Lytechinus pictus: one gene and its partner. The protein of the gene in region 1 purifies or fractionates together with the protein of each later gene. This does not show direct contact. Links are inferred from orthologs where the notes say so. Each region holds a gene or a part of one and is shown on either strand. Other genes may lie near its edges. The genes, in order: PIN2/TERF1-interacting telomerase inhibitor 1-like and telomerase reverse transcriptase-like.

Region 1 (16,565 bases):
GCCATAGAAGTCGTGGACCCAAGAAGTGAGATCCCAGCACGCGCGACCCACTAGTTAGAAATCCACTGCCAAACGCGGTTCGTGGTTAGTATACTAATACTAACCTCGCAATACGTACTAGTAGTATACTAATACTAACCTCGCAATACGTGTGAGTGATTTTGGCCAGGAATCAGGGTAATCACTGCTGAAAATTTGTCTGGCTTCATGACATCGGCATCATGGTGATATAATTCTGTGTATAATAAAAACTTAAACATTCCTCTGAAACAGCAGATTTTCAGCCATGGTCCATACCACTCAGTGCTCCTAAATAATTTAATCGCCTGCCTGAGTCCTGACCAGTTTTAGAAATCTGAAGAAAAAATCTGCTGGAATTGTGCCACTCACACGTATTAAGTATACTAACCTCGCACCACGAACCGCGTTTGTCAGTGGATTTCTAACTAGTGGGTCGCGCGTGCTTAGCCTGGAGGCGTCTGGGATCTCACTTCTTGGGTCCACAACACACGACTTCTATGGCTTGATTTTTCTGTGCGTGGCGGCATGTAATGAACCCTTGGGCACTCCTAGTACCAATGAGGTCCAACATTACATGTATGGACCTCATAGGCGACATCAGTAGTATTTTTGGTTAGAAATCTCTGAGAACAGGATATTTATATATTATATCACAAGTACAAGCTATATTCCTTTCTCTTATTTAAATTATAATTTTATAGTGTAAATGCATCGTTAGCAACAACAAAAAATTAAAGAAATGAAGGGGAACTTACATTTTCAGGGCTTTTTCCTGATTTTCTGGGCAGCTGCTCTTCTCTTCTGACTCTCGATCGAAGCTGATATGAAGATCACGTGATTCGCGTTCTCGTCAGCTGATCGGTTGGTTATTCTTTTCGTCAGACGTTAATAATATATATTTTATAATGCTAGCATTCATCGCTAATTTAGGTGAAAGAGATTGAAGTTAAACAGCGCCAGGTCGGAATCATAATTATTTTGGAAGAGTGTATTTATACACTCGATCTCATACCTGACGTAGACGGCGCTATTCAACAAATGCACAATCTTCAATATAAAAAATAAAACAGAAAGAACGCCTTGAACACAGGCCAAAATGCCTAACGATTTCTCCGCGGCATTAACAACTATCGTAAAGGGCGCTCCATTTATCAATAAAGATGGATGCTAAGCTGTCTATGGCGACAAAATTTGCCGCAAATATTTACGAAGAATTGTGAGAAATGGTCTGAAAATGCAACAAAAGAACCGGTGAGTACCGATTAAACATTATCAATTTATTTAATAGAACATATTTAATGACTACAATGTAACAATTTCTAGATAATATTGCTTAGTTCTAAGCTAGGGCGGCCCAAATGCGCGTGAGTGGAGTCCCAGTTTATTAGCACGGGTAAGTATTGGGGTGTCGCCTAGAGTGCCCTTGGGTGGAATTGTGCAAAAACATTATTTCTAAAATAAAAACTTTTTAATTTTAATAGTAGTTATGCCAAAATGCATGATTCTAAACTTATATCAGATCTGTATCTGTCATCTGACCTGAATGCATCGTCAGAACAAGTACAGTTTCCAAACATGCTTACCTTGACTTTTGACTGGATCAAACAGCGTAGCCTGCAACATGCATCGGGAGCAAGTGAATGGGACCGTGCAGCTTGGAGTTTTTCAATAGTTAGTAGAGCAACACAACGAAGACTGTCGAGTGGACAAAATCGATCTTTCCAGTTCACAATTCAATAAAAAACGGGCAAAATAACACAGTTCTGGTTCCCTTATAGTCTGAAGTTGTCGAAAACAGAATTCGGATGTCACATTACATGAAGAAAACGGTAAATTCGGAAGATATTGAAGAGGTCAGTAAGGTGATTCAGTGTATTATGCACAGAGGGATGATGAGCTCGATGATTGTGTGACGTCATTATTCTCGACTGTTTTCACTGCGTGAACTGTCGGTCTGGGGGCGGCTGGGGGGCTTAGAATGGTCTCTAATAATTTCATTTCTTGCATTTCCACGACATCAATAAGACTTTTTAGTGACATATTTGTGTATAAAAAGACAAGACCTTTCCATTCATATATAATTTGTCTATAATCATCACTTTCGTGAATTTTCTTTGGATGTATACTTTAAGTGAAGGGGGTATTTATTTCTATTTAATGCCAATTTTATTTTTTCAAATTCATTTTCTTTTAATTTATTTTTAATCTTATTCAAAACTATTTCTGAATTGTTTTCTCTACCACTGAAAACCAAATACTTCACAAGGATTATAAAGTGATTATAACCAATTTTTCTTTTCCTTGATCTGCTAATTTTATCCCCAAAATATGTCTTCCCAAGTAAGATTGGTGAAAGAAACAAAGTCAAAAATATTCTCGCAGTCTCTCCATATTAATTTTGCTTTTTCGCACTTGAAAAAATAAATGACGATAAGTCTCTTCTTCTTTTTTACAGTAGCTACACAGATTAGAATAAACTTTCCCAAATGCATATGCTGATTTGTATAAATGATTCCGTGTATGAATTTAAATTGGAACTCTCTAAGTCGGCTGTTTAATGTACATTGCCTTGGTCTTTTAAAAATATTTTCTAGTGTCTTTATCTGAAAGACGGTAGTTACACTTTAGTCTTGTGAATACTCCAGGTGTTATTGCTTTCTGGTAAAGAAATGTTGTATAAAGTTTTTTTGATGCAATATCATTTATTGCTACAACATTTTTACCTAATAAAAAAACTATGTCAGGATCATCAGGAATTCTCGCTACCCCAAATAGCGATTTCGCCGAGATCCGGGAAAATCCCTGTAACGTGCATTGCATTATGGGATAGCTTTTTCGGTATTACAACTTCCTGTTCGGAAGTCCAACGCACTGCATTTGCCATTTAGATCAACAGTGCCGTCATGCACAACAACACAACGTAGCTTTCGCTCGGAAAGTTCGTGATCACAACCCTCTCTTTCACTAACAGTTTTACAGCCTTTTCTGCTAAAGTCACTAATTCTGCCTGACGCTTTCCATTGCATGGTATTCATCTGTCAGTTAAGATTTTTTTTAAGTTCCGAAACTGATTTTTATCCATTTTGTGGTCGACGAAAAATTGAACGAAATGAATGCTGAATATATTTAGTGTCTAGTTGAATACGATCGTGATGTCAGGCCGGTCGCTAAATGCAAAATTTTAAGATATTCATTATTTGTTAGATTTTTTTATAACCAAATAAAAGCATGAATAAAAATTATTCTTACGTGAAATATATTTTTTATTTTTATTTATAATTCAAATGGAATCAAAACTGACCAAATGTAATAAAAAGTATTATACTCTGTACATATTACGCTGATTGGCATCGATTTCAGCGTGGTGGAAAACTCAGTATCGCGAACCTCGCGCGGGCATGACTCTAAACCGGAAGTGGTGATGACGACCCGACGGGGTGAAAATTATCTCGTCTCGCGCATTATGAGATTTTTGTTCCTATTTGGGGTAGCGAGAATTGTGTCTCTATCTGTTCTCATATTCCTCTTCCAGCTGACCGGAAGTGTACCATAGATCTTATTGCCAATCAATTCAATGTCATTGGATTCTAATCCTCGTCGTTTTAAGTATCCATGAGATCTTAAATTTCCGTCACTATCCATTATGTGGTTCAATCTATATATATTTTTTTTCAATCTATATATTTTTTGTCAAAAAGCTTTCTGTCAAATATACACTTTCCGTTAACTCGTATGAATTTATTATTAAACATTATTTCATTTCCTTTGTAAGGTTCATATTTCTGCTAGAAATTCCTCGTTTCTATCCACACTTCCAGAAGATCTGTATAGAACTTTGGCAATGTTAAATTCAAAAGGTCAAGTAAATAGTCACAAGAAAAAAATGAAACTTCCGCCTACATGTTGTGTAGCGCGATTAAAATATAACTTCCATTTCATTTCGTTATTTTCCATAAGTTTTTTGACCCACATAACTCTCTGTGCTTTTATTAACAGTTCAAAATTCATCATTTTCAGACCTCCCAAATGGTAATCCAGATACATCGTATTTCTATTAATTTTATTTCTTCCACCCCACAGGAACTCAAAGGTTATCTTTTCTAACTCCTCATAAACCCATTTTGGAACTGGCATGAGGGCCGCTGTGTATGTGAATTTTGAATATATAAATATCTTTAGTAACTGTATTTTACCCATCAACGTCAAATCCCTCTGTTTCCACCAACCTAAAAGTTTTTTTGTTTTACTTAATATTTCTTTGTAATTCAAATTTTCTTTTACTTCATTGTTCGAAGAAAAAAACACCCCTAATATCTTAACAAAATCCACTCTCTGGCCGAAAGGTATTTCATAAGATTTTCCTTGTAAAGCCCCAATCAAGAGAACTTTTGTTTCATCCTTATTAACACCAAATCCTGAAATATTTCCAAATTCTCTAATAAACCTTTGACTTTTCTAATTGAATCTTCATCTTGAACAAAAAGGGTCATATCATCTGCATACATGATTTTTTTATTTCCTCCTTTCCAAACAAAATACCTTTAACCTCCCTATTGTATCTTACATTATGTGTCAGTATTTCTAAACATAAAATAAACAGGCATGGGGATAGGGGATCCCCTGCCTTACGCCTCTACGTACATCAAAATATCCCGTTGACATTCCTCCATTAAAAATACAACTTAATAAGTTTTTGTACAAAATTTCCACCCATCTGCAAAACTGTGGACCGAAGTTATAAAAATGTAATATTTTATTAAGAAAATCATGGGACACCGAATCAAAAGCCTTTTGAAAGTCAATTGCTATCATATACCCTATGGTAAGTCATTTTTTGTCGCATGGAATATTACGTCGTATATTATTCTGATTGCTTCTCCAATAGTTCTCCCGTTCATGAAACCTATTTGATCTACTGAACTAATGTCTTCTAAAACATCTTTTAATCTTGTTGCCAAGACTTTAGATAGAATTTTATAATCAATATTTAATAATGATATTGGCCTGTAATTCTTAAGTAAATGAGGGTCCTTCCCATCTTTGGCAATCAGAATGACCACAGCTTGTTTTTGTGATGCAGTTAGTTCTCCTGTTTCAAATGCCTTGTTAAATGCCCCTAGTAAAATATCTTTTATTTCTGTCCAGAATGTAGTAAAAAACCCTTCGGTCAGTCCGTCATTCCATGATGATTTATTTTGTTTCATTCCTTTAAGGACTGTAAAACATTCTTCTTCATAAACTTTCCCTTCACAATTTGTTTTGCTTTCATATGACAATGACGGTAAGTTTTTGAAAAAATCTATATTAGATACACTATCTTCTAAAACCTTGATGGTAATTCGCGATAAATTGATAAAATATGAGAATCTAATAAATAACACACCTATATATAAAAAGTACCGCATATCAAAGAGAGATCGAAATGCACGGAGAAGATAAACCCAGCTAGCACAAAAATATTATAAAAATATTATAACATTAATATATTATATATTATAGGTAAATGATATGAAAACATTTTTAGAATGTCAAAATATATGGTTATATCTATGTATGGTTATGGCAACACGGCTGTCTCTAATTGTCATATAGACTATATGTCATGAAAATGGCAACACGGCTCTCTCTACTATATGAATTAAAATTATGTCATGAAAATGGCAACACTGCTGACAACTGATTAAGTGCATTAATTTATCAATTGCTGGAACTTATTTTCATCAAATGGAGACGCATCATTTACACATGGATGAAAAATTATAGAAGCAATTATGATTTCAAGTAATAAGAAAACGAAAAGTTGGGATGTGACATCATATCCGCAGCCCACATAATAAATAGGACTATTTATCATGTTTATGACGAAGTGCATATCACTATATTGCTAAATTTTAAAATTCAATAACTTCATTATTTGTTATCCGATTCTGATGAAACAGCATTTTGCTCTAGGCTGTGAATTTTACTCTACTTATTTAGATATATCTTCAGCCGGGAGCATCCTTTCATGTTATATTGACTATAACTGCCATGCAAATTGAAACGCGGTTATAATAATGAATTTGAGATATTAGTATCTTCAACTGTAATTATTATATAGGCAGTCTCTTCACGGTAATTCTATACTTTGCAAACCCAAAGTCATTACAATAAGTATTTCTAGTAACAAAAGAGGGATTACTTTTAGCAGAAAACCAATTAGCACTTCAAGGACTATAGTACATTCAGCTTTATATCCTGCTTTGGGGTAGGAATTAACAATAGATAATCCTGGTTGAAAGCCATCAATTGACTACTTAAAGGACAAGTCCACTTAAAAAAATAGTGTATAAAGCAATTAGAGACATCTGCGTTGCCATTTTCATGACATATAGTTTATATGACAATTAGAGACAGCCGTGTTGCCATTTTCATGACATAATTATAGTTTATATGACAATTAGAGACAGCCGTGTTGCCATTTTCATGACATATAGTTTATATGACAATTAGAGACAGCCGTGTTGCCATTTTCATGACATATAGTTTATATGACAATTAGAGACAGCCGTGTTGCCATTTTCTTGACATATAGTGTATAAAGCATTTAGAGACAGCCGTGTTGCCATTTTCATGACATATAGTTTATATGACAATTAGAGACAGCCGTGTTGCCATTTTCATGACATATAGTTTATATGACAATTAGAGACAGTCGTGTTGCCATTTTCATGACATATAGTTTATATGACAATTAGAGACAGCCGTGTTGCCATTTTCATGACATATAGTTTATATGACAATTAGAGACAGCCGTGTTGCCATTTTCTTGACATATAGTTTATATGACAATTAGAGACAGCCGTGTTGCCATTTTCTTGACATATAGTTTATATGACAATTAGAGACAGCCGTGTTGCCATTTTCTTGACATATAGTGTATAAAGCATTTAGAGACAGCCGTGTTGCCATTTTCATGACATATTCATAAATTATTAACAGGTTATGCAAACTTTTGTAGATGTCTAAATGTGCTTAAAATAAAATCTTGTTTTGCAATGGCTTTATGAAATTATTAAATGTATTTGAAATTCTATTACAATATTTAGGGCCTACTATAACACTTTTTGCCTTGTATATTAAAAATTATCATGATGAAAATATTTTTACAAAATTAAATAATCCTATCTACCCTACCCTAAAATTAAAATGTTTCGTTTTTCTAACTCTTAGTGCATTGAATCTTCCACCAAGTAAAAAAATAATTGTAATTGATGTTGTTGATATGTTTTCAAATTTCAACTCCACGTATGGTATGCTGCAGAACTCGCGCTCGCGTCCCTTGAATTGAATTTGGTACTCTAATGGTGGTAATTGCACTGTTCCATTTTCGAAAAACGACTGGTCTCGCATCTAACTTCGTACGCGCGGGTTCATAGATCCTCCGTTGTTCACGATATCGTCAACATTAAATAGATCTACATGTGTTTTAACCATAGAGATTAGTATACATCTCTATGATTTTAACCCATAAATCATCTGTAATAATAAATTCGCACGAATCTATATTACTCATTAGTCGTAAACGAACGATACCGAGCGTACGGCCACGTAGCCCACATAGCCTGCACGTAACACACACACTATCGGACTTCCTTAATTGACCAATCAGAGAATGGCTAACGTGCTGTCTTTAACGGGACGTGCTCGCTAGCGTGCAGCCACCATTAGGGGACTTGCAATGCAAAATCCCCCGTCGGGGCTCTTCAATTTTTGTCTTTAATGAAAAAAAATTTTGAAAATTAACGCGACCAAAATGCAAATTAATATTCCCTCTTGGCATTAATTGCCAAAAAACGGAGAAAAATCAAGTTAAAAGGAACAAAAACAGTGACTTACCTCGGCTGTCGCGCAAATTCACTTCCCCGTTTTATCCGATCTTAAGTACATAAACATATGGCCATTGAGTCCCCTGTACAGATCGCGCTAGAACTTCGGTCTCTGTATTTGGTGAGTGAAGCCAACGGAGTTCAGCTGAACAACCAACATAATAGAGACCGAAGCTTTTGGTCTATGTATCCTATTGCCGGACACCTTTATTTCAGTGCTTTAAAAATGACCACTAGAGGAAATACAATCAAGAAAAAATCGCACTTGCTATTCCAAATATTATGAAAATTATGAATATGGTAAAATTATTTTATATTTACCAACCATTTTCTTTGCATCGCACTTGCCGCATACCCCTCCACGAAAAACAGTTATTTTCGTGCGTGACAAATTACATCATCAGACAGTAGAGGCGCACGGCCAATATGGGAGACTCTCTCCAATAGGGGAGACAATCTCCCACATTGGAGACTTGCTTTGCAAAAGGACAAAAGAAACAACACCAACAAAAGTATGATTTTTTCCACCCAAAATTTTGTCTCACTGAGGTCAGAAGCCCATTTGTTTTGTGTGTGATTGACAACAAAATCCCTTATCAAAATAAAAGTAGACGGTGAATTTTTAAAGTAGACGGTGAAAAGGGGTAATTTTTCATGAGGAATCTGCTTATCACATTTTTATTTGCCGCCAAGGTAATCCTTTTGCAGCAAATGTAAACAAAGGAAATTGGACTCCAAAACTGGAGACTGTCTCTGAAATTGGATACCCAAATTCTTTACAAAAGTCTCTGATATTGGAGATAATCTCCCACATTGGAGACAGTCTCCAATATTGGCCGTGCGCCTCTACTGATCATGATTCCGGACGCGCGCCGGACGGGTAAAGATATTCTTGATTATAATGATGTAAGAACAAATTTGTGTGATTTTTTCTTCTTATATAATATCATGAGTAAATTCTAAGTTTTTGTTTGCTGTTTTTATATCGATTCTGAGCAGATGTTGGTAATAAATTCGTGTTTGATAACTTATTTTATTTTTTCTTGTTAGCTGCATGTTTCATGGAACTTTCCAATATTATGCTCGTTCGTATCGTGACGCTCATCAAGTTCTATCGATGCGCTGCCGATCGTCGACGGCTCTATACTCACGGTGCTCACGGTAAACCTCGCGCACGGGTACCTTGAGAACTAGCCGTCGACGATCACCCACAATACACCACACCTCATCATTCGATCGAAGGAGCGGACGAGATTAATTGAAATTCGGCAGATCAGACCCATATTTCCGTTAGAAAATATATCAATTGTTAATGCAAAACTATGTTATTTGATATTTTAAGCATTTTCTGTCATTTTAGAGATAAATAAGGTAAAAGTTGGATTTTTTTCGCCTTGTTTTTGCAATCCTGTTCTATGTATTGCTCTGTGAAATTGAATTGCGGAAGTCTTACGGTACAAAATTGTTTTCGAATGCAGTAATATGCGCGTCCGGTAATACAATACGTGACTATACATGTAAATACGATAAAATGCGTGTATGTGAACTCGGCTAAGCAGCAGGTAAGCTCCGCTGCCTTCGCGGTGCTGCGTTGGCGGAGCTGAGGCCAAGGCTTGGGCTTGAGCTCAGAGTCAGAGCTCTACATTACATCCCGGAGGGGGCAGTCAAATATAATTGCTGTACACATGCGTGACAAAAAGAAACCGCGTGGAAAAGTGGTGTTTTTTCAGTTTTGGACGTGGGCCGCGCGTGCACTCTTATAAAAAACACAGATTTTCAAGAAAAAGGTAGCCATGCCACTATTATAACCCAGCCCCAGGGAGCCCAGGGGCTTACCGTGTATTTGACCATAGTCACCGGACTAGGGTGATTTATGGTCTAAATATTTCTCCAAATGAATTGTGAAAACAGAAAGTATACAATTAGGCCTACCACGATTATATTGATGAAGGTCTAACGAGTGGCAGTTTCCTGACATCTGCCTGGGCACAGACTGGAACCTCAAAAAACGAAAAGTTCTCTCCTTCTTCCCTGTCTCGATCGGCCATTTTTGTTAAAAATCGTAACAAAATGGCCGATCGAGACTGGGTAGAAGGAGAGAACTTTTCGTTTTTTTGAGGTTCCAGTCTGTGCCCAGATGTCAGGAAACTGCCACTCGTTAGACCTTCATCCATATAATCGTGGTAATTGTATACTTTCTGTTTTCACAATTCATTTAGAGAAATATTTAGACCATAAATCACCCTAGTCCGGTGACTATGGTCAAATACACGGTAAGCCCCTGGGCTCCCGCCCGCGCAGCAGGCGGGAGCTCCCTGGGTTAGTAATAATAGTATTGCCAGCCCATGCAGGCCAGGCAGGAGGAGGCTTTAGAGTTTAGTTCTAGAGAGTAAAAAAAAATTATTTACTAACCTATGCTTACTCTCAACGAAGGTCGAAGCCAGGAATTCCTTCCCATTCATACATGTATCTGCACGTACCGCCCCAACACCTGAAACTTCCCCCCCCCCCAAGATTTCTACTTCTAGAAAAAAGATCTAGCCCTATCATGTACATGGGGTACAACTTCATTTCCGACATTTCTACGCTATCGATTTTATTTTTAAACAAGAATTCATAAAAAAAATGAGAAAAATATGAAAAGACGGAAGAGAATTGCCCAATGTTTACGCCGCCATCTTGTTTCCATGTACAAACATCTTAAAATCAGCAAACTGGATCTGAATACAGAGGTTTAAGCGTGTATGCAAGAGCAGCCACAAGTATCCATTTAAATTACATAAGGACGGTTTCCAATCCTTTTCTTAGGTTTGAATAATTTTTCTAAATGTTTATCTCTCTCTCTCTCCCCTCAATATATCTTTCCCTTTCTCCCCTCCCACTTCTCACCCCACCCCAACCCCCACTCCAAATCTATCTTTGTCCCCTCCCACTTCCCACCCCCACCCTAACCCCTTCTCCCAATATATCTATCCCTCTTTATCTTTCTCCCTTAATTCCCACTTCTTAACATCCCCACCCAACCCCTCTCCCAATCTATCCTTCTTTCTTTTCCCCTCCCATTTCTCTGCACCCAACCCCTCTCCCAATCTTTATCTTTCTCTCTTTTCTCCTCTCTCCCACTTCTCCCCAACCCTACCCCAACCCCTTCTCCCAATCAATCTTTCTTTCTTTCTCTTTCTCCCTTCACACATCTTCCCACCCCACCCTAACCCCATCTCCCAATCTCTTTCTTCCCCTCTCCCACTTCTCTCCACCCCGCTCTTTCCCCCCACCCCCTACTCTCTCTCCATCTCTCTTTATGTTCTGTTCATTCAGATTCCTCCAAGTTTGGTCAGAAGTTGATGGAGAAGATGGGTTGGTCAAAGGGCAAAGGTCTTGGGATCAAAGAGGATGGAAACGTCTCACACGTCAAAGTTTCTCTCAAGAATAACAACTTAGGTGAGTTTGCACTGGCCAGTAGAGGAGAGGGGGTGGTGGGGGGGGGGGAGGGGGGGGGGGGGTATTCAGCTATAATGCTTTACACATGTGTGACCAGGAAAACGAAGTTAATAAATCTAAAAATCATATTAGAAATATATGTCGTGTTAAGGACCTGTGCATTTGTACAACACTATATCATCATCATCATTTTCATTATCATCATAACGTTCATCACTAGCATCATCATTATCATCATCATCATCATCATTAAGATCGTCATAATCATCATTGCCATCATCATTGTCATCATCATCATCACCACCCTTATTATTAACACCATCGTCATCATCATTTCCATCATCATCGTCATCATCATTTCCATCATCATCGTCATCATCATCTTCATCATCATCATTACCACCATCATCATCTTCAGCATTATCATCATCGTCATCACCATCATCATCATCACTATCATCACCATGATCATCATCATCATCTTCATCATCATGATAATGATTACCATCATCATCATCATCGTCGTCATCAATATAATCATCATCACCATCTTTCTTATCAACACCATCATCATCATTATCATCACCATCTTCATCATCATCATAATCATTATCTCCAGATATTTTTCTAATTGAGCAAACCTTAGATATTGTGAAGTGAATATGGATTGAATTGACTTTCATCATCGTTACAAATGATATTTCAAATTTGATAGGGATTGGATGCAAGGCTAGCCAAGAAGACAATTGGATCGCTCATCAAGACGATTTCAACGACCTTCTCAGCTCCCTCAACGAGGGACATGCGCCCTCTACGTCAAACGAAAGAGAAGCCTTGAGCTTGGAAGAACGCTCCAAGAAGTCTCGCAGCAGAGTCCAGTGAGTAACATCTGACCAAGAAGAAAAATTACATCAGGCTCGCGGCGATTCCAGAAAATCCCCTTTCATTTCAATGATGAAACGATAAAACTGGCAGTCAAGTGGAAATATTTATTTCTATATTAAATTCTCCTCATATATAGCCGATATTCGGTGATATCATGTATTGATGAAAATTATTTCTTTCCAAGTACCCTGACACACTGAGGGATATTTTTCTGTTCGAATAGCTGATCATCACTTTGCAGCTTCAGGAACATCTCTACTGTTCAAAACCCCATCAGTTATCGAACTGTCAGCCACTGACAGTTTTAAAATTCCTTAGATCTACAGAAATAAATTTCACATTTTCACAATTAGCTGAGCTATCTAGCTGTAAATAGTGGCGTGGATCAGCTGCTGCACTTATTGCTATGGGAAGTGCGTGTCCCAGGAAAATCACCCTGGATGTATCAATATCTTGGAGTATTGGCTATATCCGATTAGGATTTATAATATATATGTTTGATTCTATTGTGTTATGATCTTCAACAACTATAACTTTGTTTTACTATTCTGTAATACATGTATGTTATCTTTGTAAATTTACATGGATTGAAAAGGAAGACCTTCAGGTTATAGTTATTTTGTTATTTTTCTTTTCACGGCTTCCATGTGACTCTCCTTATCCTATTGTTTGTATATGTTGTTTATGTCTGATTATACCAAATGAAATAATAATGATAATAATGATATTAATAATAGTAATATTGATAATAATAATAATAATAATAACAATACTACTACTACTACTACTACTAATAATAATAATAATACTACTACTAATAATAATAATGATACTACTACTACTACTACTACTACTTCTACTACTACTACTACTAATAATAATAATAATAATAATAATGCTAATAATAATGATAATAATAACAATAATACCACTACTACTTGTGATGTTCACTTCTACTTGCAAGAAATTCATGTGGGGGAAAGATATCAATACAATCAGTTTAATGAAGTGTCTCTGTTTCTGTATATGCTATCATTTTAAAAATATTTCTAAATGTATGATATTTATTTTAGTTACAAGAAATTCACACAAGGCAAGGATATGAGTCGCTATGGAGAGGACGGTATGAACAGCATCCTGGGACGCCGCCTCACAAGTTCTGCTCCGGTTACACCTCAAACACAATCGGTAAGTTGGACACAGAGGCCCGTATTCTGCAGTTGGGTTTGATTTAAACTCTGGTTTAAAGTTGTGGTTTAACTATGGACAGCCAATAGTTGCGTAAATCTCTAACAATATAGCATGAATGTATCAGCTCATTTTTTGGTCAAATCATTCTTAACTGTTTCGGAAAGATAAATAAGATAACTTTCTTCACCATTCACGAGTTGGGAGAGAGCACAGTAAGCATAAGAAACAGGCAATGTAAGGACAATTTTTACATGTTTGGCTTCCATAATTTTCGCACAGAGTTAGACCATGGTCTAAGTTAAACCTGACTTCAGAATACGGGCCAGAATGTTCAAACTTACAAAGATGGATTTGAATCCATGGTCGCAAAAATCAAGGTCATTTTTCTGTTTCTGTCATGAAAATGGAAAAACAGAATTTTCCTTTGTCATTTCATTTTTTAAAAATACAAAAACAAAAAATGCAGCATGGTTTCAGCTCTCTGAAATCACAGAGCTTAAGCAGTGCTTTTGTGTTTTCAAAAATGAAATGACAAAGGAAATTCTGTTTTTCCTGCATGGCAGAAACAGAAAAAACAACTTATTCATATGTACCTTGAATTGTAAACCATGATAAATCCAGATTTCATGTACTAATTTCATTAATGGGTTCAAGTATGCCACGTAGCCAAAAGCAAGTAAGTCACCTATTCATACTTTAAAGGGGAATCCAACCCAAATAAAAACTTGTTTTTAGAGGAAAAAAGAAAAATCAGACAAGTTGATAGGTGAAAGTTTGAACAATATCGGACAATAAATAAGAAAGTTATGATTTTTTAAAAGTTGTAAATATTGGTAATCACTATACCCATGGAGACTTCAAATTGGCCGCATATGGGATGTCATAGTGATGTAAGGCAAGGACTACTCTTCCATGTACTCCAATACATATTATGGCTAAAATGTAATTTTTTTCAAAAAGTCATACTTCAAATTATATTTTTCTTTCATGAGGACATAAAACAATATACTACCTGGGTTATATTTAAATTATTGCCCCAGGGGAATGGGTATTTAGGAGAAAACCACAAATCCCTGATAATTAAGTACATGGCCTATGAGAATGTTGTCCTTGCCCCTTGTCATAATTTATTACCCAGTTGCCAATTTGAAATCTACATAGTCCTAGGGATCGCAAGTTTAAAGTAGCCGTAACTTTCTTATCGCTTGTCCGATTTCTTTCAAATATTCACCATTCTGTTTTCTTTATTTTTTCTCCTTTCCAACTCAACATTTATAACCGAGGCTGGGTTCCCCTTTAATTCTATGCAATCTACCTACTACGCACATTTAGGGTGCAGTATTCTGGAGGCATCATTTTACCTCCTAGTCTGCAAGCACAGACTCAGATGTGACACTTTAACAAATTCCCATGTCTAAGAGTGAAGACGAGACTCAAAACTCTCTGGCCCGTATTTTGAAGTCAGGTTTAACTTAGACCCTGGTTTAAAGTTGTGGTTTAACTATGGAGAGCCAATTGACGCACAAATTCCTAACAGTACACATTCAATTTATTAACTCATATGACATCCAAATTTTTCATAATTGTCTGGGAATGATAACTGAAGTATATTTCTTCCTTATGAAAGCAAAAGGAAACCAAATTGTAAACATTAGAAATATACAATATAAACAGAATTTTTGAACTTTTGGCTTCCCATAATTTTAGCACAGAGTTAGACCGTGGTCTAAGTTAAACCTGACTTCAGAATATGGGCCTTTATCTTTAGTAGAGGCTGCCGACTGCAGTACATTGTGAATCTAGTCTCACTACTTTAGACTCTTCATTATGCATTATGCAAATTGCAAAAACCAAAGGTCTTTGACTGCAGACTACATTTTATCCCTAGTGTGTAAAACCTGAGATGACATCTAGAAGGGCTTATTTCCAGTTTGTCTAATGCCAATTCGTCCAATTGCCAACTCGTCTACTATCATCTGGTCTACCATCGGTTCGTCCACTCACCACATGGTCTACTTTCTTTTAGTCTAATGCCATTCCGTCTGATAACCAGTTGGTCCAATAGTCATTTAGTCCATATACCATTTGGGTCTAATTGGACTAAAGTGTCAATTGTGCAAAATGAATGAAAATGAAACGGATATTAGACCAACTGGTTATGAGACGGACTGGTCATGGACAAAATGGTGATTAGACGAAGTGATGATTGGATCAAATGGTTAATGGACCAATTGGTTGTTAGATGAAATGTTGATGGATGGAATGGCATTAGACTAAATGGAAGTAGACCATGTGGTGGGTGGACGAGTTGGCAGTAGATGAATTGGCAGTTTACCTCTAGAAGGCCATGCCAAGGATTCTGATGTACATATTGGATACACTTGTGATGTCATAAGGAAGCATACCGTATGTGGACTCGCAATTTTGATCAATACTTATATTAAAAGATTCTAGCATTTGATGTTTGCGAACATTGTGTGCAGATTTCAGTCATGAATCCAGGGTTCGAATTAATTTTAGGGCATCCAAGATCATGACCTCAGATGCCCTCAGAATGGCAGTGACGCCCTTTCAAATATTTGTAAACTTAAGGCCAAAATACAAGCATATAAGTGCCCCTTCTGCCTCTGACCCTAATGTTTTTCATTGTTTTTTCAATGAAATTTGTTTGGGACTCTTCTGAGATCATAAACAGCATAAAATAAATACATTTGGACCAGCAAAACTAAAAATAATAATACTTTAAGAAGGACTGGTGATCCTTTCTTATGGCGAATGGTATATTCATTAGCGATGGTTTTGCGCGTAAGAAAGGATCACCAGTCGCTCTTAACTTACGAACAGCTTTACGAAACACCCACCCGGTGCCCTAAAGTAATCCAGTGCATGTGTCCTATTGAAAATGGCCTTAGATCCCCCCTAGAGTAAGCACTGCCTACCATTCATATAAGTGCCCTTATAGATAATGGCCTTGTCCTTTGAATTCTTATATCGAGCCCTGTGAATCAATGGCCCGAATTCACAAAGGTGGTTTTGAAAACCCACAGTTGAATCCCTGGTTTATGCAGATTTTCTGTATAAATTGCGTTTAATTTATCGTGTATCGGGCGCGTGTATTAAAAATGTCCAATGCTAATGCGCGCTTTTGTCATAGTGCGC
Region 2 (16,532 bases), on another chromosome or scaffold:
TTATATGACATTGATTATTTAATGATGCAAGATCGTACATTGAGTTTGATCAACTTTCTAACGATGTTATGATCCAGCCTATCAAAAGCCTCGGTGAAATTAGTAAACACAACCGTGGATAGACTCTTGCTATGTTATATGTGAAAACTGTGTATTATCATTATTGTATATATTTTAAGTCAACTTTTTTTTCATTGCTCATCGTTTTAAATGATAGTAGTTTTACCTCTTTCATATCTTAAACCCATTTATGTTTTCAAAATGTGGGATGGAGACCTTTGCCAGTTTTCTGACATCTGGTGCAAGTTTGTCTATGGGAATTGCCGGTTTTGGCGGAAGAAATCTACTGGAGAACAGTGCTGTTTTAAAAAACGCATTGGCCAACTTGATGACATTGTCGCTAACCCTTATCCAGTTCTTGATCACATCTGGAGAAGCGTCCCAATGAAGAGAATCGCTGTAAGGAAGTCCGGTAAGATCGCAGAACTTCTGAAGCACATCAGCGGGGTTGGTCAACAGATCATCAGTGTTGATGACGATTGGGTTGGGATCCAAGTTGTCCCGGACGTAATTCCAAAGCTCTGTTATTCCGCTGTAGAATTCGTTCGCGTTCATGACAGGGTCACCGTGACCGATGTCGAAGGCGCCTTCGTCGGCGGCATCCCCTGAGCGGATTCCAACATTTGTCAGGTGCTGATACATCGCTTTCATGTAGGATGTGAACAGTTTATGAGGTTCCCGGATGAGAAAGACATGCTTGAATCGTTTTGGTAGGTACTGCCGTCATTTCTTATCCGGAAAAGCCATCTACCCGTTCTTGACAAAGATATACTTACTGGTGGATGCCTCAAGTTCTTTCTGCACGTTATGGTATCTATAAGGAACCAAACCAAAAAGGGCGTATTTAAATTGGTGATTGTGTTTCTCCCACGCTCAGGATGCTCACGCTACCACGTCATCATTTCTTGTTTCGTGTACTGAAACTTGTGCTATGCTACCTAATTTTTTCTTCCTAGTTTCTTGTCATTTCTACTTCCTTTTAGTTTATTTTCCTTTATTTTATTATTCGTTATCATTTTATGCCATGTCTGCTACTTCCAACTTGTACTAGTTCTTCTTCCTAAGAGTAGTTAGCTAGAGTTGCCAATGTTTTGAGTATCTACGCTACAAGACACTTGCATAAAGCGGTTGAGATTGTTCGTGGCATGATCCAAGCCATGATCCGTACAGGAGAACTTTGACAATCAGCCATTTTGATTTCCAATCATGACTCGCAATTGAACTACAGGGAAACTCTGTGTCACTGTCCTCTATCCGTTTTGATTATTTTGTTTTAAGCAGTCTTCCCTGTCCATGTGATCGCGTTTTTTTTTTCGTTTCTATTTTCATTTTGTTTGTTTTTTTTAGCAAAGGGCGAGTTCCATACCTAATTCAAAATAAAGACTCATTTTGGATACACGGATTGCAACGTATTTCCTAAATTATACAATTAAATAGAACAGTAAATTAATCGTCAACTTATATCAAAATAATGTTATGTGGGAGCTACCTTTAACTTACATCTATCAAATACTTCATGCGTGTATACAGAGTGATAGCGATTACAAAGTCCAAAACAGAAGTTGGTTTTTATAGGGACAATGGCTTTTTAAGAAAATTGGCTTTTTACGGAAATGTAATAATGATGCATCAGTAAAATAGAATTATTATCAATGTTATTATTGTTATCAGTATTATCATAATTGTTATTGCACTGTACAATATCATTATTTTTATCATTGTTATTATCATTATTATTATTATCATCATCATCATCATCACCGTAGTAGTAGTAGTAGTAGTAGTAGTAGTAGTAGTAGTAGTAGAGTAGCAGAATTAGCAGTAGTAGTAGTAGTGGTAGTAGTAGTAGTAGTAGTAGTAGTATAGTAGTAGTAGTAGTAGTCGTAGTTAGTAGTAGCTAGTAATACTAGTAATATTAGTAGTTGAAGTAGTTGTAGTAGTGGTAGCAGTAGTAGTAGTAGTAGTAGTTGAAGTAGTAGTAGTAGTAGTAGTAGTAGTAGTAGTAGTAGCAGCAGTAGTAGTAGTAGTAGTAGTAGTAGTTATTGGTGTTGTTGTAGTACAGTAGTAGTAGTAGTAGTAGTAGTAGTAGTAGTAGTAGTAGTAGTATAGTAGTAGTAGTATTCGTAGTATTCGGAGTAGTAGTAGTAGTATTATAGTAGTAATAGTAGTAGTAGTAGTAGTAGTAGTAGTAGTAGTAGTAGTAGTAGTAGTAGTAGTATTTGTCGTATATTAGCAGTAGTAGTAGTAATAGTAATAGTAGTAGAATTAGTAGTAGCTATATAGTAGCAGTAGTTGTAGGGCGACGGTGTCACAATGGCGGGAAGTTTATTTCCTTGAAAGAACTCGATTCTTTCCTTACATGCTTTACTAATGTCCCTTTTTTAAATGGATTCCCGCTTCTCAAAATAGAATAAAGCAGTCATAATAATCTGGTGACGCACGTATCCAAAGTTATTAGAATGATGGTTTAGTAATTATGTCGACAATATTTGATTCTTTATATCGTGGCCAGAAGGAATATGTATTTTGATTGAATTTTTTTTAATGGGAGATCTTGAAAGTCGTGTGGTCGGCTAATCAACAGATGAGCACATAGGTTGACAACAAGAAGGAAAAAAAAAGAAAACGAAGAAAAGAGAATAGAAAGGAAAATAGATTCAAAGAGCGAGGTATGACCACAACGGAAAACAGGATGAAAATGGATAAGGAAATGCCCTATAAGACCTGCCCTATATTTAAATTCCGCCATATGTAAAAGAACATTTCCCAAGAGTGCAACAGATCCCCTCTGTTGCCAAAACCAAGTGCGTATCATATTTTTGGGTTCATAAATGATGCAGATAGCCGCGAGTGGTCTTGTAATGATCCACCCCATTATCTCCATCGTTAATTCGAGAAGAGGCGTCCACCTCCAGCACCTTGACTTCTCGACTGATTATCATCATGGCGGGGGTGTACAATAACATGCAAATTGAAGCGATGGTCACTGTACACACATCTTACAACAATATCTTGTTCGAATCGATTCGATTACACGTGGGGCTGTCACCACGGTTACAGATGATATCATGAAACACAACTTTAGTTCACTGCAAGCAATAACCTATTAAAAGGAAAAGAGGGGTAAAATAACTATAATAATGGTAATAATATTAATGATAATACTTCTAATAAGTATAATTATGATAATTTCTTCTAAAGTGTACCACGATGAGGCAAATAAACTTTTCCAAACTGGACCTCTTTCTATAACTACTTCTCCTGGCATTCACGTGGTATCGGTTGATAATCCCCTTGGCTCTTCTGATCGATTTGTGATATGTATGTAGCTAACTACAAGCAAAACTGGCTGTACGAGAAAGCTGACTGGGATAGTCTGCGCTCGTTCCTGTTTCAAGCTGACTGGTCCTCCCTTTGAAAGTCACATAATGCTGATAGTGCTGATATCGCCTAGAACAGTTAGAAAGAAAACATTGGAGATGCAATGGACGTTTTAATTCACTACCATCCAGGACTATCGAACACACGTACTCGGATAAGCCATATGGTTCAATGGCAGATGTCATGACACTGTTATCCAAACAGAAGGCTTACAAACTGGCAAAAGAGCCATACAAGTCATCTTTGGCTCCTATTATTATGGAATCTAAATCTAGATGTCAGCGTACCATAATTATGCAGAGCACGTATAGTTCTCACAAAACCTAGAGCAGGAACTCAATTAAGCATGCCAGCAATAAGCAGTGGTGGAAACTGGTCAAATATGTAACTGCAAGCAACAAGTCATCTGCTGTCCCTCCACCGAAAGATGACAATGGCCGTGCAGATGTTACAAAGTTGAGCTCCTTATGCAGCACCTTCACTGCAAATGCGCATCTTGATGATAAGGGCCAAGTTTCTCCTATAAGCTGAAGTTGAAAACTGGTGAATCTGTCTCTACCATCAGCTTCTGGCCTAAGGTTATCCTCAAGAAACTACGAAATCTTGACATATCCAAGGCAACTGGTCCAGATGGCATCAGCCACCGTACTTAAGAACTGTGCACTTGAGCTTGCACCAGTTCTTTCAAAGCTATACCAGTTGTCCTTGAGCAGAAAAACCACACATTCAGAGTGGAAAACTGCCCATGTTGTAGATGAGCCCAAGAAATGGAACAGCTGTATATATGCATCGAACTACAGGCTAGAGCAGCTGTACTCGCACTTCTTGATAGGCAGCGGAAAGCGATCCGCCTCTAGAGAATTGAAGACAAACCAAGGTTTGCCTTTATCCACTTGAGCACCGGATAAATGTTGCATCTCTCTGAACATGTACCTTCTACCGTCACTTCTTCCTGAAACCATCCGATGAGTTGTCTGCATGGAACCCCCCCCCCCTTGGCCCCCAATGTCAGTTTGACACGCTCTACTGCAGCTGCCCATCCCTAAAGAGTCACTGTCCCAAAGTAAAACACTGTCTTGTCAAGGACAGCTCAGCTCTGGAACTCACTTCCTGTCAACACATTCATGGGCCACTTATTATTATTTTATGATCACAACATATCAGACCCAAAGAACTATAACAAAAAAATAATAATAAATAATAATAATGAAATAATTGAAAAAAAAACAATAATAATAGTAACTATAATAGTAATAATCATCATCATCATCAGTTAATATCTTATCTGTTTTGTCTTCCATGATTTGGAATAATAATAATAATAATATTCCGCATTTATATAGCGTTTAACACATCGGAACGACGTCTCTAAGCGCTTTACAGATATATTATTACCCCGGTCATCGGATCCTTGCATGCCCGCATACAATGTATGCACCTTCTCCACTCCCTGGGGAGCATTCCAACAAGAGTTCTAAGACTCAATTGCTAGGCATACTACATCGGCTTTCGCATCCTACCGGGTACCCATTTAACACCTGGGTGGAGAGTGGCAAATTGTGGATTGACGCCTTGCCAAAGGACGCTAGGCCATGGCGGGATTCGAACTCACGACCCTCTGATTACAAGGCGAGAGTCAGAACCGCTACACCACGGCGCTTCCACGGAATAGATCCCGTCATCTGATCATTTCATCTAAACATGACGACATCCCATATCTCATCACACTGATCATCTCTTCGAAGGGATACCACCATGAGATGCGATCCAAGAATTAACTCGTCATGTCATCTTTCGCTAAAACGATGTCGGCTTCCAAAGATGATTATTTCATATCTTGCTGGCACGTTTAGGTTATAAGATTTAATAGAACACTGTCTTTACAATCTAGAGAACTGCACGTTGCGATGTGTTGGACGTCACACAATAAAAAACTGTTTTTCATTCTGACGTATTTATACAAGCTCTTTAAGTCACTGAGGAGCGAAATCTGAAAATTGAGTTAATTGCCTTCTTCCCCATTAGGAATAGGTCTTAACCTGGAATGGAGCTTTTGGTTTTCTGCTGCGTACAAGGAAACGTCGTCTGTCGGGAATTTAGATACAATGGTAATGGATCATCTCGAGCAGTAGATAAAAGGTCTCTCGTTTTAGGCTTTCCCATGATGGAAATATTCACTTTTTAAAAAAAAAGGCACATAATTGGATGTAATCTTGTTTCCAAAGCATTGCACGACCTTCTATACAAAGGCAGTATTTCGGTTTGATTTACTAATCAATATTGTCATGGTTAATATCATATCAATTGTTTAAAATATTAAACTAACCAAATCAAATAAAATCAGATAAAAGTAAATTATCAACATTATTTTTTATGTACAGTAGTACACTAATATAGTCTCAACCTTTTGCTCTTTTAAATAACAATAGTGGAACGCCTCTGGCAGTCTCGCCTACGTTACGCGATTCAATATAGCAGCAGTGCTGACTTTGAAAAAACAACTATTGAATAATTATTCACAAAAAATAACATCCATATGATAATGAAATACTATGTTAATTGACCCTAAATTTATGTGACCTGAAACTCATACAGGATGTTCAAAGATACATGATTACCCTTATGTCCAATTAATTTTCATGAACTAAATCTATAAACTTTCAAAGTTAAGATGAAATTCAGCAAATACCCCAACAGGTTAAAGTTCTTTGACCCTAAATGACCTTTGACCTTGATCATGTGACGTGAAACTTGCAGAGGGGATGTTTGATAATACTTTATCAACTTTACATCCGTTACATACGTTATGCGATTCAATATAGCAGCAGTGCTGACTTTGAAAAACAACCATTGAATAATTATTCACAAAAAATAACATCCATATGATAATGAAATACTATGTTCATTGACCCTAAATTTATGTGACCTTAAATTCATGCAGGATGTTCAATGATACATAATTACCCTTGTCTAATTAATTTTCATGAACTAAATCTATAAACATTCAAAGTTATGATGAAATTTAGCACATACCCCAACATGGTTAAAGTTATTTGACCCTAAATGACCTTTGAGTTTGATCATGTGACCTGAAACATGCACAGGTCACAGGATGTTTGACAATACTCGATTACTCTTATGACCAGATTTCACGAACCAGATCCTTAAACTTCTACAGTTATGATGACATTAAAAAAATAAACATTCGTTAAGATTTCGGTGTTGATTCCCACATGGCCTAGGTTCATTGACCCTAAATGACCTTTGACCTTGATCATGTGACCTGAAATTCAGGCAGGATGTTTCGGAATACTTGATTAGTCCTACCGTTAAGTCCAATTGCTTCTTGAACTGGGTCCATATACTTCGTAAGACATGATGACATTTAAAAAAATAAGTAAGTTGGTTAAGATGTCAATGTTGGCCAGTGGCGTAATGAGCCAAATATTTTCAGGGGGCTCGAAATGGCGTATCGCGTAAAATTGATAATAAATTGCGAGCGATCTAAGCGAGTGAGAAAAAAAAATCGACATTTTTATTACAAAAATCCAAGTTTTGTGATAAATTGTTCACCATTATCCCTTACCTTTTCTCTTTTTCTTCTTGGTCGTGATTTTTTCTGCCCCCCTCTCCCACTGTTTGCACGCCCATCGACGCAGCCGCCGCCGTCGAAAAAGCGGCGCCTATAGTCTCGCTCTACTATGCAGGCGAGACAAAAGCTATATATAGATCGCCCATTCTTTATTTTTCATGAAAAAGCATTATTTTTTTTTTCATTGTTTTGTAACGTCTTTTAATCTACCTGTGTGATAACTGCGTGCGTTTCATTGCATTGCAATGACCTGCTTTCTTTTTAAAGAATATAGAAAATGATGACACAAGCAAACGGTTAAGCTGGCTCGTATTATTCAGATTTATTATTCGGATTTAAAAACTTTAGAAAAGTCTATCAACAAATGAATCCAGCGTGTTGATTGAAAATCATTATAAGTTGAAGATATACTTGATTATAAGAAACCACATAAGATCTCATTTGCCGCATGATGATATCTAGAAAAAAATATGGCAAAATGTTTGATGCATCCTGGAAAAAGAGTACAGAGAAAAACTCAATACTATTGTATTGAGGGAGAGTGGAAATACTCTCATTTATTTATTTCAATAATACATGTATATACATGTAAAAACATACAAATATCATACATTATTTTAAACATAAATATACAAATATAATCATGAAACATTAAGATGAGATTTGAAAAAAAAATAATGAAAGAAAATGGTATCCCAAAAAGCCTCAAAGCACTGGCGTAAATCCGTGTTGATGGGTGGGGGGGATGACTGAAATATTTTGGAATTTTTTGCAATCATGTTTTTAGATATGCAAGGAATTGTCATTGATATGTCCACAGTGGCGTACCGTGGGTCACGGCATTGGGGGAGGGGGGGGGGCACCAGCAACATTTTTGAATCACTGAGTGAGTGCGCTAAGCGCGCGCAGTTGCCAGTTATACTGACCTAATAGAGAAATTTTAAAGACAATGTCATTAAACGGATATGTATCTCACTAATCAAATAATGCGAGCGCGAAGCGCGAGCTGAAATTTTGTTATATTCACACCTAAAAAGGGACATTATAATCAAATTTGTGTAATCATGATAGGAACCTGTCTCGCTAAACAATGCGAGCGCGAAGCGCGAGCTGAAAACTTAGATAATTCAGACCTGAAGTGGGGCAATCTAAGGTTTCTTTGTAGGAATTAACTAGGACCATACGTATTTCATTAACCAAATGATGCGAGCGCGAAGCGCGAGCTGAAAATTTTTGATATTCAGATCAGAAGAAGGGACATTTTATGGACTGATTTTAGGAATTCATGAAGAGCAGACATATCTCACCAATCCACTAATGCGAACGTAATCACGGACAGGAAATGTTTCATATATACGAAGACCTTAACATGAGGCAATCACTTTTTGAGTCATGAAAAAGAAGCATATGTAACTACGTAAAACAACGATAACTCAAGTGCTAGGAAATATATTTGGTTTATATTGACTTGAAAACGAGATGTTTTAGTACAACAGGATTATATATCTCGTTAAACAGACAATGCGAGCACCAGGAACAATGAAGACGTAGGCCCTGGGCAAATTATGTTTCATAAAGTTATGATAAAAATGTTTCTTATGTATATATAATGTAACATAACATAATTATAATGTAATATAACATTATAATGAATAATATCTTCTTCTTTCCCACTTTGCTTCTCTTCCTTTCTCCCTATTGTCTCCTTTTCCCACTTTCCCCGTTTTTTATTTGGTCAGCCGATGGGGGGGGGGGGCCGGGGGGGGGGGTGTGCCCCCCATGCCCCCCGCGTAGTTACGCCACTGTATGTCCATATGGCAAATACCCTCCAATATTATTATCTTTTTTACCCCATGATGGTTAATGGTTTTATTAGAGATTACATTCAAAATGTTTTGACATTCCATCTTAATCCCTAATTCCCAAAGACCCCAACATTGATGAATTGGAAGAAACGGGGGTTTCTCTTCAATGTTATGATAAGGACATAAGTATTTCGTTTGGAAATGGTGAACTGGCTCTTTATTGTCATTTTATGATTCAATAATATTGTTTTATTTGTTAAGCGGTATTTTAGGAAGAATTTTCACCAATAAAACAATTATCTCTTGTGATTTTTTTTCATTTCTTTCGTAAAAACTGGGGGGGATGTTTGTACAGGCCATCCCCCCCTCCTCGAAAAGTGGGGGGGATATATCCCCCCCATCCCCCCCGGGATTTACGCCAGTGCCTCAAAGGCTTGCAAAAAGGGAAACCAAGAATGATCCCGCGGGTAAATCAAATACCCCAAATATGCGGCCGTATTATATTTGTGAAGCGATTTCAGCGAACCAACTGATGCAGTTCAACCTCAATCATCAAGGTGCAATTTCAGGTGAGGTGAAATACCCAAAAATATTTAGGATCTAGCGCCAGGGCTAGTAATATTATGCTAGGTGATGCCACCATCTCCGCCGCGAATCCGCCGTAATTGGAAACAGAAATGGAACATTTTAAAATATAATAAAGTGTAAACTCTAAACGAGTAAATGGCCACAAATATAGGTTAGGATACCTCATTATCATCAACGCATGCGAATATTACACGTACGGTACATATACAATTCATCACGATTCCGTGATACAGTAATTCGAAATGCACAAGACTAAAGAGGTATGGCAATTAGTTCCCCCAACAAGTCTGCGCAATTCTTGTAAAAGAAGAAATGCAACGAACACAAACGCTTGCAACACATAAGACAGATATTTATAAAGACAAAATGGTGGAAAAAGAATGAATTTTGGGCATTTTATATGAATCATAATATTGATGGCCTCATAAGTCATAATGCAGCCTTTACTTTTTAGTTTCTCTTCAAAATACCTGAATCGTGTGCAAAGTGAATGGGTGCGCAGACATGGGGGGGATGGGTGTCCGGACACTATTTTTTAAGCCTTTTTTTTTTTTTACTTTGGATTACACTAAAATATTATGAATTCAATAATACTAGTTGTCTTCTCTAATCTTGTTCTCTATAATTGCTACCATTTTGTATACCCAGTGGTTGTGTGTCCGGACGGGTTGGGTGTCCGGACACATGACTTTTACTCTCAATTTTGAAAAGTTTACAAGCAATGTCTTTAATTCTTTTTAGCACAGAATATAAGAAAATATTATAAAGAACAAATATTGATGGTGAAAAAAAACTATTCAACCTATATTTTTGGTTTATTCCTGAGATAAAAACAAGGCTTCATTTCTGTTACGTGTCCGGACACCCAACCCCCCATCCTACTAAAAATTGATGAAACTTTGCTTGTAAATTTTTCCAAATTATGACTTTCTAAAATTGATCGTCCTGACATAGCCTTGAGGACTCCCGGGGAGTGTTTCATCAACATTTTGGTCTGACAAGTTGTCAGATCTGACATCTTTCATTGATTCTGATTGGCTGAGAGGCACTATTACTATGGTAACTGTTGGAAATAAAATGGGACTTGATAAAACGTCTGACAAGTGAAACGCTTCCCAGGTCTGATATTTTTTTATGTATTTTGACATGTACTTCTACATGGAGCCTTGACACTCTTTCCATAGACGCTGCAGCGAGACCTACACGTCCAGATGGATTTCCCTAGGAAATCCATAGTTAGAGGGTGAAATTGGTTTGTAGGGGTGAATTTTATTTATCTATGAACCTTCATGCGCCTAAAGTGTATAAAGGGATAAAAATTATTTCACTATAAATGGTAAAAATGAGACGTTTCTTACCAGGCCGATCTCCTGTAGATCCCTCGATCCGTTTGTCAACAAAGCAAAGTCAATAGACCTGACCCTTGAACTGCTTCCTTATGACGTACATGTACATCCGAATAGCGATGCCGTTTTGAAGAACAATTTATAGAAAAAAAATATTTCACAAATTTCAAAATTTATTACCTGATTATAAATAATTATGTATTAGATTTTACTATTTGTGAAACAATAATTTTTATCTATAAATTGTCCTCAAGGCTAGTCCTGACACACAACAACTGGGTAGACCTCTATACCATTTTTTTTTTCAATCTGAAAATGACTGCCCGAGGTTTTTCCAAGACAATCCTATAGACCCCATTTCTTTCAATTTTTTATGAGATATTTGGTACACTTACGTACTCATAATATAAGGAACATTATTAACTTAAAAGATTTATTGAAATAAAAAGAAATTCATATTAAAAACTCAAGTCGTTAGGTGCGTAGACTTGGGGACCCAGGAAGACCCATAGCACATTGGTAGTATGAGGACTGTTTTTGCTAGTTATCATTCATGCCATGGTTGTAGTTCGGCCTAGTTATGACTTCTGTTAATGTTTTATCATCATAATTAGATCTAACAGATCTACATCTAGGCCTAGAACCCCCTAAGTCTTACTTAACTCTCCTTAATTTTTGTCGCTCACCCAGCCATGATTTGTATATGTTTTTACGTCTAACGTTAGATCTATATCTTTAATATTATTTTTCTGATCAAGCCAGGCATGGTCTTTTCTTGTTAAGCCTCTGTCTTTGTTTTACTTCTAGCCAAAGTCAGTTTAGATCACCTCGTTTCCCGTTTATCCCATCAAATATGTCTGGGTCAAATGTCAATCCATGTCAAATCAACTAGTGTTTGTCACCCGACCCCTCCGATTTTCTTTATACTCACACCAAATGTTCCCCCAAGTGTCTGACGGAAAATTCCGAAATATTTTGCCCCATGGTCAAATGGTTGCTAAGATACAGCCTTCCTTTCGCAACTGACAAAGGAATTAGTAGAACACCTAAATAGAGAAGAATGAAGATGACAAAAGAGAATGAGAGGAAAGGAATTCAGAGTGGAAAGAATGGATGGCAACTGAATATAATTATGAACTTACATAACCTAAGTTCAGACTGCAAGGGCAGTACTGACAGAAATGTAAATGAACTTAAGTCTGGACAGAACAGAAATGTAAAACTGCGTGGTGGCAAAGATAGCATGATAGGAGAAATAAACAAATAAGAAAATGCCAAAATAACTATCCTACACTAGTAATACATACAGTATCAGATGCTTAGTGATTGGTCTGAATTTGTGAGTATATGTAATGAGGATACATAGTGTATATTCACCACTATGATACACTCATTGCTATTTTTATTGTCCAGAGTGTGTTGGAGATGAAAAAAGAGTGTCATATGCTCTTCTTGCAGTTCCACCCTAACCTTAAGTTCAATAGCGAGAGTTGACCTACCCATGGGCTTCCCACAAGAAGGGACTTGGGGGTAATTTTTACAATTAATTTTTTATTCAAATATTGAAAGATGGGGCCTACATCCTAGGCAATCCAGCGATGCAAAAATTATTTCGAATTACAAGTAAAACTCAAAATATCAGCAAATTAAAAAGGGTATAATGAAAAAAATAATTGTGAAAATCATCCCTAAGTCCCTTTTTTACAGGAAGCCGACAAAATTTAATTTTAGAAAGTCAAAAGGGGCCTAAGCTTTCGATCCTAGCAGAATCTTCGTCGGAGGCAAAATTTAATTTTGTTAAGATTACACCTGTGAAGTTGAACTCCGAAATTAGCCATCTAACTCCAGTAGTCACTCAACATTAACACATTAATTGCTTTGCTTCTATTTAGACTGGGTGATTCATTAATTGAATGATTCTGACTCCACCCGACCAACCATGGATATCCTGGAAAGAATCTATCCCAAGGTTTCTCGTCTGGAAGACTTTCTTCAAGTTCTGGATGGATGTCCACCCCTCTACATCCCCAAAGACAAAGCTGGGTAAGGAATTTAAACTTGTTCAATGTTTCACAAATACAATAATAATAATAATTCATAATCACATTTTAAATTTTAGTATTTGTTAAATAATAATTTTTATCTATAAATTGTTCTTCAAAATGGCATTTTGTAACATCGCTAATCGAAGGTACGTCATAACGAAGCGGTTCAAGGGTCAGGCCTATTGTATTTGCTTTGTTGACAAACGGATTGAGGGATCTACACGAGATCGGTCTGGTAAGAAACCTCTCATTTTTGCCATTCATAGTGGAATAATTTTTATCCCTTCATACGCATTAGGCATTTGACGGTTCAAAGATCAGTAAAATTCACACTTATAAACCGATTTCACCCCGTAAATATGGATTTCCTAGGGAAATCCATCCGGGTGTGTAGGTCCCGCTTATGAATGTATGGAAAGAATTTCAAGGCTCCATGATGAAGAAATATTTGTCAAAATACTGAAAAATATTATCATGGAGTCCTCAAGGCTAGATTATTCATTTGAATTGTGTTTTTCATTTCCATCCACACAAAAATGCGTCCACGAATGACTGGTATATTTCAAAGTTTGCCAAGTTCATTGTACAACATCCTCTAAATATGCCCCAAATATGCATTCAAAGTAGAAATGCAACAAATACCTTCATAGAGTGTTCGTTCATTGATGTGCTATTCTAGTCACCTGGTCTATTCAATTTCTTCATCCTGCTATGTAAGGCATGCATTTGTAATATCTTGCTTTGAAATCTGCCTATCATTATGAAAGAAATGAATGGTCATTTGACCAAAATTGTCCATGAAGTAACTACGAACTGGTCTATTGGAGCAAATATCCCAAAAGAATTTGTGTGAAAAGTGGTGGCATATGGTACCCTGTTTAGTACCCCCTTCTCTCTGCCTACATGTTGGCCTATATGCTGGCCTGTCATCATGGCCACGCCTGTATGGGATGATTCTCAAGATTTAACATCATTTTGCAAACCTCACCAGATTCACTGAAAATGACATCAATTAGAAAGAAAAAAAAATCTCCCAAGCAGTAGGATTAGCCAGGAGCCTCGTAGAGACTAAAAATCATTTACTAACGTGTGCTTAAGTAACTCTCCAAGGAGCCAGGGATTGCGTCCCATTCATGTGCGTGTACCGCAAAAAAAAAATGAAATTTTTGCCCCCGACATTTCTTCTTTCCTTCTATCTAGCCCTAAATCATGAAAATGGGATAAAACTTCATTTCCGACATTTATATGACATTGATTTCATTTTCAAACAAGAATTCATTTAAAAACCGAGAAAAATATGAAAAGCCGGGGAAAACATGCCGCGATGTTTACGTCACCATCTTGTTTCTTTTTGTTCTTCGCCAAGATACATGACGCATATCCTCCACCAGCAGGTCCAATAACAGATAATTATTCGCTTTTTGTTACAGATTTGATTATTGATGTTACAAGATTAAAACTACAAAATACTTTTATGTGCAGCAGGTCCAATTTGAGAAAAATATTTTTTTAATTCATATAGTTTACATTGATGTCTATGTAATAATTAACTATTAATGAGTCATTTAAAGAAAAAATAAAGGTATTTGAGACTCAAATATATATTTTTTTCATTATTTACAGAATGGTAATACCTATGACATATCAAAAATACTTTTTTGACCATTTTTACCCTGTTCGCGAAATTGGACCACTTAATGAAATGCGACCATGTGTATTTGTGTGGTGGGGTAAGGCTGTAAGAGTAATATACTTTTTCAACACTTCAAATTTCTCAAAGTTAAATATAAGAATGCTAAACATGTTTTAATTTTTTTAAAGAGTGTGGGAGACACACATGACACCGAGCACAAAAATTCCTGCGATTAGGACTCTCTTTTTTTTTCATTTCCAAATGTTGGCAGGTCTTTTTATACAATGTTTCTAATCTACGAAGCGCTGGATACTAGATGTATTCCCCCTGTTTTGGCATGGGGTGCTCGAGCTTTCACAGAATTTCTTCAATACTAGGTAACCACCTGGTTGGAGAGTTACAAACGTAGGCTTGAACCTTGTACCTTGTGGTACAAAGTCCAGAGCGTTTTCCGCTGAGCCACAAAACCTCTTATCTTTTTTTTGTTTGTCATCTGTTCTTCCTCTATGAAAGATACAAGGCCTTCCTTCACTCAACTCTGGTAGGAATCCCATCCAGTCATCTGAATTATAAAGGTCCTCTGGATTATACACAACACTCTGATCATATGGAGGTGATCAACAGAGTCATGAGAGTAAGTGGTACATTTCTTCTTAATTCTAAATCTTTGGCCCGTTTCTTTAGAAATCCTGTCTCTGCGGAAAGCCAAGTTGACAATAATCCTCTGTGAACAGATGTATATCCTTTCCACATGCAAATTTCAATGTGTCTGCATTTTGTCTATTAAAGCAGTGTATTGTGTAGGTTGGCTTTCTATAGAGATTTTGTCGAGCTAGAGTTATGAAACAGACCCCTGTTAGTCCGACAGTCCACCTGGTTCCGGGGGAGGATGTTTCACAAAGATTTAATTATGACATAAGTCGCAGTTGCGTGCGGTATAAATGTCATCTCCCCATTGGTCAACTCATACTAAGAGGACACACGTTACTCTGTATTAACTCTTAATGTGCCATTCGCTGTAATCAGCAAGGGCCATATTTTTTTTCAAAGAGTCTATATTTAATTGTTTTATTTATAAAAAAAGGATCACTCCTAAGAAAATAATGTTAAACCTCTTGACCATAAGCTGAACTGAACAATGGAATCACTCATGCATGCAATGTACTCCTCAAAATTCAATAGGCATAACAATAGCTGTATGACCATTGCACGAAAATGTGTTCGTCGCACTCCAGTGGATGCACAGATATGTGATCATGGCACATTAAGGGTTAATAAGTTACGTGTTACATGTAATTTGCGCATCAGCATTTAAGCATTACTCTATTCACACTTCACTTTGTTAAATACCCCCTGGAGGTATAAATGTTGATGGCCGTGTCACATCGTTCCGTGCAAGCCTTGCGCGTGACTCTTTTTGTTACCCGCATGTCGCCCACATTGACAGTATCTCGCACGTATCAAGCACGCATCTGCCCTCGGGAGCGCATGCAAGTCTGATTTGCACACAAAAGTTTTGAAAATTTTATGCTCAAAGTTTGTTGCGGGTGATTGCCCGCAAATCACCCACAATAATTGCACAGAATGATGTGACAGGGCCTTTATACGGAAGGAATTATATTAGATAGGATGCCATTTTTTTTACTATGCCGTGCTATCAAGTTATTCCCAGACCTCTCTTCTGTAGTACATACCAATATTAATGGTGTTTTCTCCTGTTTGAATGTCAAACTTAGACAATCAGAATTCTGTCATGTACTAGTTAGGACGATTTGGGGTCCTGATTCAGACCTGCCAACCAGTACGCGTTTGGCGTATTTAGTACGTTTATGCAACCAAAATACGGCAGTACGTTTTTTCTTTAAAAATATGTTTTTGTAAAAAAAAAATCGTAATTTATTGAGAAAAATCATCTCTTTATGTCTCTATTTCAGAAAACTTGCACAAATATGGTTATTAGATCAATGTAATTTCAGGTAACTTTTTTTTTTCAATCATTTTGTTAAAACCAGGGTGAGATATACACATGTTTCAATGTTGTTGTTTTTTCATCTGCCAGAGCAGCTGGTTGTGCGCATTTTA

What was found.
Region 2: the proteins of PIN2/TERF1-interacting telomerase inhibitor 1-like (region 1) and telomerase reverse transcriptase-like purify together in Homo sapiens (co-immunoprecipitation; 3 studies listed by BioGRID and IntAct, with this or other methods). This does not show direct contact. The link is inferred for Lytechinus pictus from reciprocal best matches to the Homo sapiens genes PINX1 and TERT.

Annotation. Positions count from the first base shown.
Region 1 is NC_087250.1:7,509,287-7,525,851, reverse strand, and holds the start of PIN2/TERF1-interacting telomerase inhibitor 1-like, read left to right. Parts: upstream 1-9,397; 5' UTR 9,398-9,451; intron 9,452-11,207; 5' UTR 11,208-11,233; coding exon 11,234-11,330; intron 11,331-12,045; coding exon 12,046-12,208; intron 12,209-13,288; coding exon 13,289-13,403; intron 13,404-16,565. UniProt on the Homo sapiens protein: Microtubule-binding protein essential for faithful chromosome segregation. Mediates TRF1 and TERT accumulation in nucleolus and enhances TRF1 binding to telomeres. Inhibits telomerase activity. May inhibit cell proliferation and act as tumor suppressor.
Region 2 is NC_087260.1:22,793,313-22,809,844, forward strand, and holds the start of telomerase reverse transcriptase-like, read left to right. Parts: upstream 1-9,165; 5' UTR 9,166-9,407; intron 9,408-12,664; 5' UTR 12,665-12,711; coding exon 12,712-12,815; intron 12,816-14,963; coding exon 14,964-15,084; intron 15,085-16,532. UniProt on the Homo sapiens protein: Telomerase is a ribonucleoprotein enzyme essential for the replication of chromosome termini in most eukaryotes. Active in progenitor and cancer cells. Inactive, or very low activity, in normal somatic cells.